Linked DNA regions of Daphnia pulex. The protein of the gene in region 1 purifies or fractionates together with the protein of each later gene. This does not show direct contact. Links are inferred from orthologs where the notes say so. Each region holds a gene or a part of one and is shown on either strand. Other genes may lie near its edges. The genes, in order: zinc finger CCCH-type with G patch domain-containing protein-like and OTU domain-containing protein 5-B-like.

Region 1 (4,264 bases):
TTGCAATCATCAGTAATACGCAAGGCTACTCATTTCTTCTTTTTGTCACATCCATCCAGTAGATCAAAGGCTTGTTCATTATAAATTTTGCAGTACGATACCCAAACTGAAAAATAATCTTGAGGGTGTTGAAGAGGGCAAACTGTCTCTTCTCAAGCTTGAATATTCCAATCATCCAATGATCCAAAAGGAACCGAGGAAATGCTGTCCTTAGTTTTAGAGTTGAAATGAAATCCATTCATCAAAATTGCCCTGAAAATAACAGTACGTAGGTTAAAAATTTCAAATTATTTCAAATAAACTATTTTTAAAAACTTTGCAAAAGGAGAAAATACTACCTCTCCAACTCTTCTGCTTCAATTTGGTTATGATTCAGTTTCATGACTTCATTAAGAACGAGTGGCTTTAGGGCAGGATTCTTAAGTAGTCTATCTTTCAGGCTGTTGAATACAACATCCAAAGAACGAGGAATTAAACCTGCATCTTCGACATTGCCCAGCAGCATAGTGTAGGTTTTGCCTGCACTGTTGGCTCCGTAAGTGAAAAGCAGTGCATTCTTGCCCATCAAGAAATCTAGTGGACGGCTGGAGTCTGGACGCACTGCATTCGAGCACCGTCAGATGGATCTCCTATCAACTATTTGAAAGTTCACGTAAGAATAAAGCCATTAGACGAGAAAATCAAAAACAGCACTTAATCGATCAACGGAAATCACATTATTGTAAGAGCACAAAAAACTTCTGCGTCATTCAAGACTAGACACCACTCTGGAAAGAACACTTTACCGAAATTAAAATTCAACAAAATTGATGACTCATCAGTGAAACAGGAACATCTTTTCAAAGACTCTGCAAGATTAATTTTGTACAAGATTTCTTGATGGACAAGAATGCACTACTTTTCACTTACAGAGCCAACAGTGCAGGCAAAACCTACACTATGCTGGGCAATGTCGAAGATGCAGGTTTGGTCGAGTCTATTGCACCGTCGGGCTGACGGTGCTCGAACTCCAGACTCCAGCCGATCACTCGCGATTTTTTTCATTTGGCCTTCGACGTTGCCAGATATGGCCAATTACGGCCAAATTTTTGTTCAAAATAGCCAAAAATTTAGCTAAAATCATAAAAAATCGAAATCACTCATTAGCAAAAATCTAATCTAACTTTAGATTAACAGATTATGCTCTCGTCACATTTTCATTGCTTTGCAACGCTGCTAGCAGACTACCGTAGTATTTATAAACAAAACATCAAAACCTTTTCAATTCTCGACAAAGCTCGATGTCTTTCTCGCTACAGTTTTGAAGTTGACCGTTATCCTTTTAATATGTCAGAAAGCGTGCAATCACTACAGGATTCACTTGAAATATACCAAAATCAGGTAGACACGATTTTAATTTTCTAAAGAATCGCAATTTTTAAGTTGTTTTTATTCAAACGAAGTTGAAACAAATACAAGATGCATTGTTGATCGCGAATGAAGAACAAAAACCGGACTTGCAGCAAATTGTAAAAGATTTAGAAGAAATCATATTGCTTACTGAAACAAGTCTATCAAGTGCACCGGTCCAGGAAGATAATGATACCTCATCAGCAAACAGCCAAAATGAATCATACTTGGATGTTAGTTTTGGTTGACAATAAGTGGCATAATTTCAATGAATCAGCTGAAATGTTTGGTTTTATTTTTATATTCTAGGAAGAACTTTCAGCATTAGAGGGGATGAAATGTAAAGCTCCGTTTAAATATGAATGGGGTGGAGTTGGATACCACAGTGCTATTATCATTGGTTCTGAGTTAGGCGAGGATGATTTAGTTTATGTGAAAGCTGTTTTCATGCACCCCACTACTAAAAAAATGCAGCCATGTCCATATTTTTTAGAAGGAAATTGTAAATATCCAGATGAAAAGTGTCATTATTCCCATGGCTACACTGTCCGATTGGATGAAGTGCAAGATTTCAGGTGTGTATCTCATCAAATCTAAATCTAAAAGTAATTATTTTTTCTCACTTCAAAACAGTGATCCAGACTATAGCAAAATCACTGAGGGCTGCACAGTATTAGCAAAGTATAAAGATGAACTGTGGTACAGAGGAATTGTTGAAGACATCATCAAAGGAACAGAGTTTTCCGTCAAATTCCAACATTGCAATGATGTACTGTTACTCAATTTGCATGCTGTCTATCCTCTAGGTAAAGGTTACAATATTTATGGCCATAGAATTATTTCAAAATTATTTCGATTTCATCAGATGAAGACGACGAAGATTCGTCCTCTGAATCCAGTGAGGATGAAGACGACGACGACTCTCAATTTACTCCGAGATGCCTAGAAGAACATAACGTAGGAGCTGCTAAAGAAACTGGCTCGTTTGGATTCTGGGAAAAACATACTAGAGGAATTGGATCTAGACTAATGGAGAAAATGGGGTATGTCCATGGTTCTGGATTGGGAAAGGAAGGAGAAGGTAGAATCAATCCAGTAGAAGCCATGGTTTTCCCGCCGGGTCGATCACTGGGTAAGTGGCATCAGTAGATATCTTTTTCTTTTAAATTTTAATTGGTCTCTTTGTTGGTTTTTAAAAAGATCGTTGTATGGAATTGAGAGAAGAAGCCGGAAGTGGGAATATGCTTTCGGTGGAAAAGAAACTTGAACGCCAAAAAGCCAAAGCCCAGCATCGATTGCGTCAAATAGCCAACGCATCCGAACGTGGATCAGTTTTCGATTTCATCAATTCCAAGCTTACAAAAACCAGTGGACAGGATTCCAAAGGAGGTAAGAGTACCAATAACTCATCCGTTAGCAGCCCTTAGCAATCTTTATTGTTTATTTGATTGGACAGACGGGGCTTCGCATTCACGAACAAAAGTGTCTGACTTGGGGCAGCTAACTCGTGAAAAGCTGAACGTTCAAAGCCTCCAGATCGGAGAAGAAATTCGCAGAGCTGAGCGTGACATCATTAAAATGAAACAATCTCTTCAACGTCAGAGTGATCGTGGTGACCTTGCATCCGTTTCGCAAATCAGATCGAGACTGGCCGAGAAAGAAAAAGATTTAGATCGACTTCGAGCTTCTGATCGTCACATAGTGAACGAGCAAAAGCAAAGAAAGAGCTCTTCTAAATTGACCGTTTTCTAAACTGACCTTTTCCGTAATACTTCCAATAAAGATAACCGTGTAACAACTAATAATCTAAACTTCGTTTCAACTAATCACAATGATCCATAAAAATGCGATATGAATTTTGTAATCAGAAAGTAAGAAACAATAAGAGTTTCCAAACAAGAAGGTAATAACAATTATAACAACAGTTCATTTCAATGGTGGGTTAGCGGGCAGTTAAATTAATAGAATCCGTTGAAGAATGGGTAAGGTTGAGGGTAGTAACCAGTAAATCCAGGGTAAGGAGTGACGAATCGGGCAGGAGCGATGGGAGCAACTGGGGCAGTGTAAACGGCGTTGTCGGGCTGGCCGTCCTGGTTCAGGTCAACGCTTTTGTAACGGAAATCGTTGAGGAATTCAGCTGGGTTGTGGGGAAGGACGGCAACTTGACGTTTGCTGCGGGTGGACTTGACCTCAGCGGCGGGAGCAGCGGCAGCCTGGACGAAGGGGTAGGTGAAAGGAGCGCCGTAAGTGTAGGGGAATCCAGCGCGGTAGTTCAGACCGGCGTAGGGGTAGTAGTTGGGCAAGAGAGCGGGGGCTGCGGTGTAGACTGGGACATCGGGTTGGCCGTCCTTGTTCAAGTCAACGCTCTTCGACAACAAGTCATTGGTAAACTGAGGATTGTATGGGGACCATTGGCTGTAATATGGGGCAACCCATTGGGCGGAGGCGCAAGCCAAGAAGAAGCTGATGATCTATTGATTAAATTGAATTGATTGTTAATGGTAGAGAATGAAAATATATTAAAAAGAATTGGATAGAGACAAAAGAACTTACCAAGAATTTCATATTGGGATAATGCTTGTAGTGGACAGACGTTGCAGTGAACAAGTGAAGAATTTGGAATTGGGTTCTTCTTTTATATCGTTCAAAATTAGCCGTTTGTTGAGATTAGAAACTATGGTGCAATACCTTTTAGTTTAGTTGAAACACTTTGGTGCTAAGAAAGAATGAACTGCATTCTTTGTTGAGACAAAAGAGAGTGAGTGAGTAGCAAGCAAGACGACACTAGTCTCGACTCAAGAAAAGGGGGGGAGAACAAACGTTGACATACGTATCACACAATACGTTGAAGCAACATTGAAAGAAAACATTCTCA
Region 2 (4,422 bases), on another chromosome or scaffold:
TGGTGGCTGCAGCCTTGGGCTGGTTCCAATTGAAGAACTTTTTTAGGACTAGGTGCTTCATCGCTATCTTCTTCCTTAAAGGTGACCATAGGAACATTTTGATAAATCCTGGGGATGTTGATTTCCTTTAGAATCGAAGGACTCTCTGGTGAGACTGCTTCTAATGCTTTTTTGCCAAGCAGTTCTTCTGAAGCACTTTCATCTCTGACTGTGTTATAATAATTCAGTTTACTTGATCTATCAGTTTCGTCAAAAGCCATTGGGACTTCCCAGTCTCCATTGGTCTTGTTCTTTGAATTTTGGCATTGAAGAATGAGCTGTTCGACTGACATGATAAGGAAAAATCCTAAAATGCATGTGAATTCAGCAACAGGAAAATCAGTTGTTATATTAAGGTCTGCAAGCACTTTCCTCGTCTTGTCTTGCGCATAAGGAAGTAGTCCTAGAAAGCACATTGCGATGAAGACTCCACCAGCCATGGAATTACAGAATGAAATTATTCTTTCTGTACCACGACTAAAGTTGCAGTCCTTGGTAGATTTCTTGGCTACAATGCAGACTGGAATCAAAGCACAAATTGCCATAACAATGTACACAATCAAAGCAGTGACAACCAGCAGTACTTGGCTATCCATGTTGACTGCCACTATGCTTGGATGTGTCTGATGGACTGATGCAACTGTTTACTCTTTTAGAATTTTTCGTTTAGTAATTTTCAGCGTTCGCACAGGCCAGATGCCACTGACTCTACTCACTGTCCCTTCGCGTTATTATAAAACTCAAAACTACTTGAGACAAGGGCACTTACTGCGCCTTGAGCGAAATATTAACTCGAGCTCGGTCAACACCCTCTGTCGGTCGATTTGTATTTATTTTTATTTTTTTTGTGCTTTACATCTTCTGCTCGTTTTCTTACTTCATGCTAGAAGGAACCTACGACAGGTTCTACAATAATGCTACAATAATTAATTCACCTACCTGAAAGGTATATGCAGGGTGATTTTATTCCTTCCTGGCAGAAGTTATGCAATGTTTCACTTAAAAAGTAAAATTCCAGACACACGATCAAAACGAAGTCAATGTCACAATACTGGCAGAGCAGACAGAATGTTCGTATACAATTAACATCCTTGGTTGCCTTCTTCGAGCAAAAATTCGGAAATTGAAAAATACATATTAGCTAGAAGCTAGCTAAAAAATATTTTTCAACACAATTTTGCAAACATGAAAAATTATGTTTTTTATTCATAGCATCACTCCGAAAATTCATTCCATTGAAAATTTGAAACATTTTGAAACTCTATGTTTTCGCTTATTCATCGACATGGCAACCTCTAAATAATTTAGACAGAAAAATAGACACGGCCATCTTTCAGTGGAAAATTTGTCTTTTTCGTTGAATAGATAAAAGAAATCGTCGAAGAGTACATTTCAAGGGCGTTTCGGTAAAGAGAGTGATCTTTGCACAAGCATCATGACAATTCTGCCGAAAAAGAAGTCATCTCAATCACGGTCGGAATCCGAAAGTAATACTGATGGATCTCCCCTACAACACCTCTCAGTTGGGAGCAATAATCACCTTTCACACATTGGACCAGTACCACAGGTAAAAAAATTATTTTTATAAATATACCCCAGTATTTAAACAGCCTTTGGAAGAAATTATGGCTGGAAGTTTCAGTGCATCTTCTAATTGACATCTGAAACAACCACACAAAATGGCCGGTCCAGCTACAACCAGTACTTATGTACAAGAAGCAAATGGTGCTTTGTTCATTACACCCTTGCCATTTAGGCAGTGCTCAATGAATAAAAGCAAATAGTATTGATAACTATTATTGACAAAGATGACAAAAAGTCAGCATTGTTGATTCTTATTAAAATGTATTTTACATAAATTTTACAGGTAGCAGAAACTTGCAGTGTGTCTAGGCTGTCTGGAAGAACATCATCAAGCCATCCCCACAGCCACGGACACAGCAGCCAGTCATCATCTCGCTATGAAGATTATGACCTGGAGAGTGGTCCTAGTCAAACAAAAAGAAGAATGAGAGTCAGTCCCCATAGGTATTTAATCTCAGTTATTATTTTGTTGCATTGAAATTTGACAGGCATATTTTTTTTTTATTTAGAGCTGTCCGCCCCAAGCACAGAGATAGGAATTCATCAACCTCTGCCATACCTAGTACTAGTTCAGCCATGCACAGTGTTGCCTCTTCATCCAGCTCAGGAAGTTCTCCCACACCAAGCCATACAGTACCAGATCCTTCTTCCCATGAAGATGAATCAGGAAGTGGATATAACAGTGGAGATGAATATGGACCTGCAAGATCTTCATCTTCTAATGTCCCCATTTCTGAAGAAGAATGGGAACAGGTATGTTTCCTAAGACAGAAGTGTTATTCATAGAACTCCATCAATGCCAATATGATTATTAGAAGGAAAGATGGTTTGAGAAAAAGATGCGGAAACGAGGTTTTATTATTAAGCGGATGGGTGAAGACGGAGCCTGCTTGTTTCGTGCCGTTTCTGATCAAATCTACGGTGATCAAGAAATGCACTCAATGGTTCGCAAACATTGTATGGACTATATTGTAAGTAATTGTCCTGTTGTATTTTTATGAATTTGAAACATTACGTCTATATTTATATTTGTCATAAAAGGACGCAAACGGAGACTACTTTTCACAGTATATGACTGAAGACTTTGCCGCCTATGTGAGTAGAAAAAGATTGGAAAATGTACATGGCAATCACATTGAGATGCAGGCTATGAGCGAAATGTACAACAGACATATTGAAGTATTTTGCTACAGCGTCGGTAAGCCCTTATCATTTCGATAAAATTCGCTAAATAGAAGGCTTACTTAAATTTAACCCATTACAGAGCCGATCAATATTTTCCATGGTAAACATCAGACTGATGACGAACCTATTCGATTGTCTTATCATCGTGGAGTGCACTACAACAGTTTGGTTGATCCGTACAAAGCCACTGTGGGAGTAGGACTGGGATTGCCAGGATTTGTCCCTGGTCAAGCAGACAAGAAATTAATGGGTGATGCCATGCGACAAAGTGAAGAGACCTTAATTGAAAAAGCCATGTTAGAAGATAAAGTTAAAGCCACAGATTGGGAGGCAACAAATGAAGCTATTGAAGAGCAAGTTGCCCGTGAAAGTTACCTCGACTGGCTTAGAGAAAACGAGCGACGCAGTCGACAGCAGCAACGGTCCGGTCATTCGGCAACCACTTCCTCGAATGCCTGCGAGCTCCGTTCCCCAAGAACAACAGCAACGACGTCCTCTTCAGCTCGTAATTCGCCCAAACCATCTTTTGTTGAACACCAGCGGAAGTCTCCAAATGCTTCACCGAGAGCGTCCACTTCACGCAGCGCCACAACCTCTAGTAGTCGTGAAGGTGCATCAACTAGCCCTATCGCGTCACCGGCCGCTGGTACTTCAAGTTCAAACCCAGTGAACACCAGTAAACCCGATTGGGGATTGGGGCCAGGCTTTGAATTGGCTGAAACGGCTTCATTCCTGGGACAGTTGCCTCCTGACATGTTTGGTAACTGACGTTTATATCAACAGATATTTTCAGTTTAATTTTATGCTTTAAAATTGGCTAAAGGTTTAGCAGACTGGGAGGATGCTGGACTTTTGGCTCAAGTGCTGGCTGCATCGCAACAAGAGTATCTGGACAAGTTGAAAAAGAGCAGGGAAGCCATCGACCCTCACGACGACGAGACGATGGATAACACCAAACAGCAGCAAGAGGAGCAGCCGGTTGAACAGAGCAGTCGCGACAGTATGACGACAGATCCAACCAACGACCTGACCAGTGCGAACGGGACTAACAATAGTTAACCCAGACTCCTCAGTTGTTTTGTCTACGTGTTAGCTTTCCTTTTTTTTTCCCCCCGTCAGTGGCAGGGAGCTCAAGAGGCGTGTATCAGGGGAGGAGTCAGAAGAAAGTCCTTTCCATGCAAAATTGTTAATCTTTGATTCTCGGTCTAAATTTAGACTCGCAATGACGTCTGACTGACACAATTGGATTGAACTTGCCTGTACCCCCGTCTCCTCCACTGCCGATTCTCGCAAACTGGCTGCCAAATCATGTAAAAAAAATTCATCCGCGTTCAAAGTCCAGTGAAGCGAGAAAGGGAGAAATCACTTAAAAAAAAAAAAAAAAAAAATGAGGATTGTAATAATTCGTTACACAGCTTTTCTGTCAAAATAGCCGCGGATGCTCCTCTTGCCCTCCTGGTGCCTTTGAATATCTTTCGTCGTGGTTTTCTCCATTTCGTTTTGCGGATGCTGGAACTAACTAACGTCTCCCCGTACCTTGGCAGCAGCTGATGTGATGGCCATAACTCGCACTCTTTTTTCTCGTTTGTCACGTTCTTTTGTTTTTGTTTTCGT

Evidence for each region.
Region 2: the proteins of zinc finger CCCH-type with G patch domain-containing protein-like (region 1) and OTU domain-containing protein 5-B-like purify together in Homo sapiens (affinity purification with mass spectrometry; 3 studies listed by BioGRID, with this or other methods). This does not show direct contact. The link is inferred for Daphnia pulex from reciprocal best matches to the Homo sapiens genes ZGPAT and OTUD5.

The regions. Positions count from the first base shown.
Region 1 is NC_060017.1:8,204,672-8,208,935, forward strand, and holds zinc finger CCCH-type with G patch domain-containing protein-like, read left to right. Parts: upstream 1-1,152; 5' UTR 1,153-1,179; coding exon 1,180-1,380; intron 1,381-1,442; coding exon 1,443-1,622; intron 1,623-1,698; coding exon 1,699-1,964; intron 1,965-2,022; coding exon 2,023-2,195; intron 2,196-2,254; coding exon 2,255-2,521; intron 2,522-2,589; coding exon 2,590-2,778; intron 2,779-2,845; coding exon 2,846-3,141; 3' UTR 3,142-3,347; downstream 3,348-4,264. Other genes in the region: uncharacterized protein LOC124193369, read right to left, coding at 3,348-3,860, 3,943-4,048. UniProt on the Homo sapiens protein: Transcription repressor that specifically binds the 5'-GGAG[GA]A[GA]A-3' consensus sequence. Represses transcription by recruiting the chromatin multiprotein complex NuRD to target promoters.
Region 2 is NC_060018.1:2,563,932-2,568,353, reverse strand, and holds the start of OTU domain-containing protein 5-B-like, read left to right. Parts: upstream 1-1,323; 5' UTR 1,324-1,474; coding exon 1,475-1,606; intron 1,607-1,906; coding exon 1,907-2,067; intron 2,068-2,132; coding exon 2,133-2,376; intron 2,377-2,438; coding exon 2,439-2,594; intron 2,595-2,664; coding exon 2,665-2,821; intron 2,822-2,887; coding exon 2,888-3,568; intron 3,569-3,631; coding exon 3,632-3,867; 3' UTR 3,868-4,422. Other genes in the region: zinc transporter ZIP1-like, read right to left, coding at 1-635. UniProt on the Homo sapiens protein: Deubiquitinating enzyme that functions as a negative regulator of the innate immune system. Has peptidase activity towards 'Lys-48'- and 'Lys-63'-linked polyubiquitin chains. Can also cleave 'Lys-11'-linked ubiquitin chains (in vitro).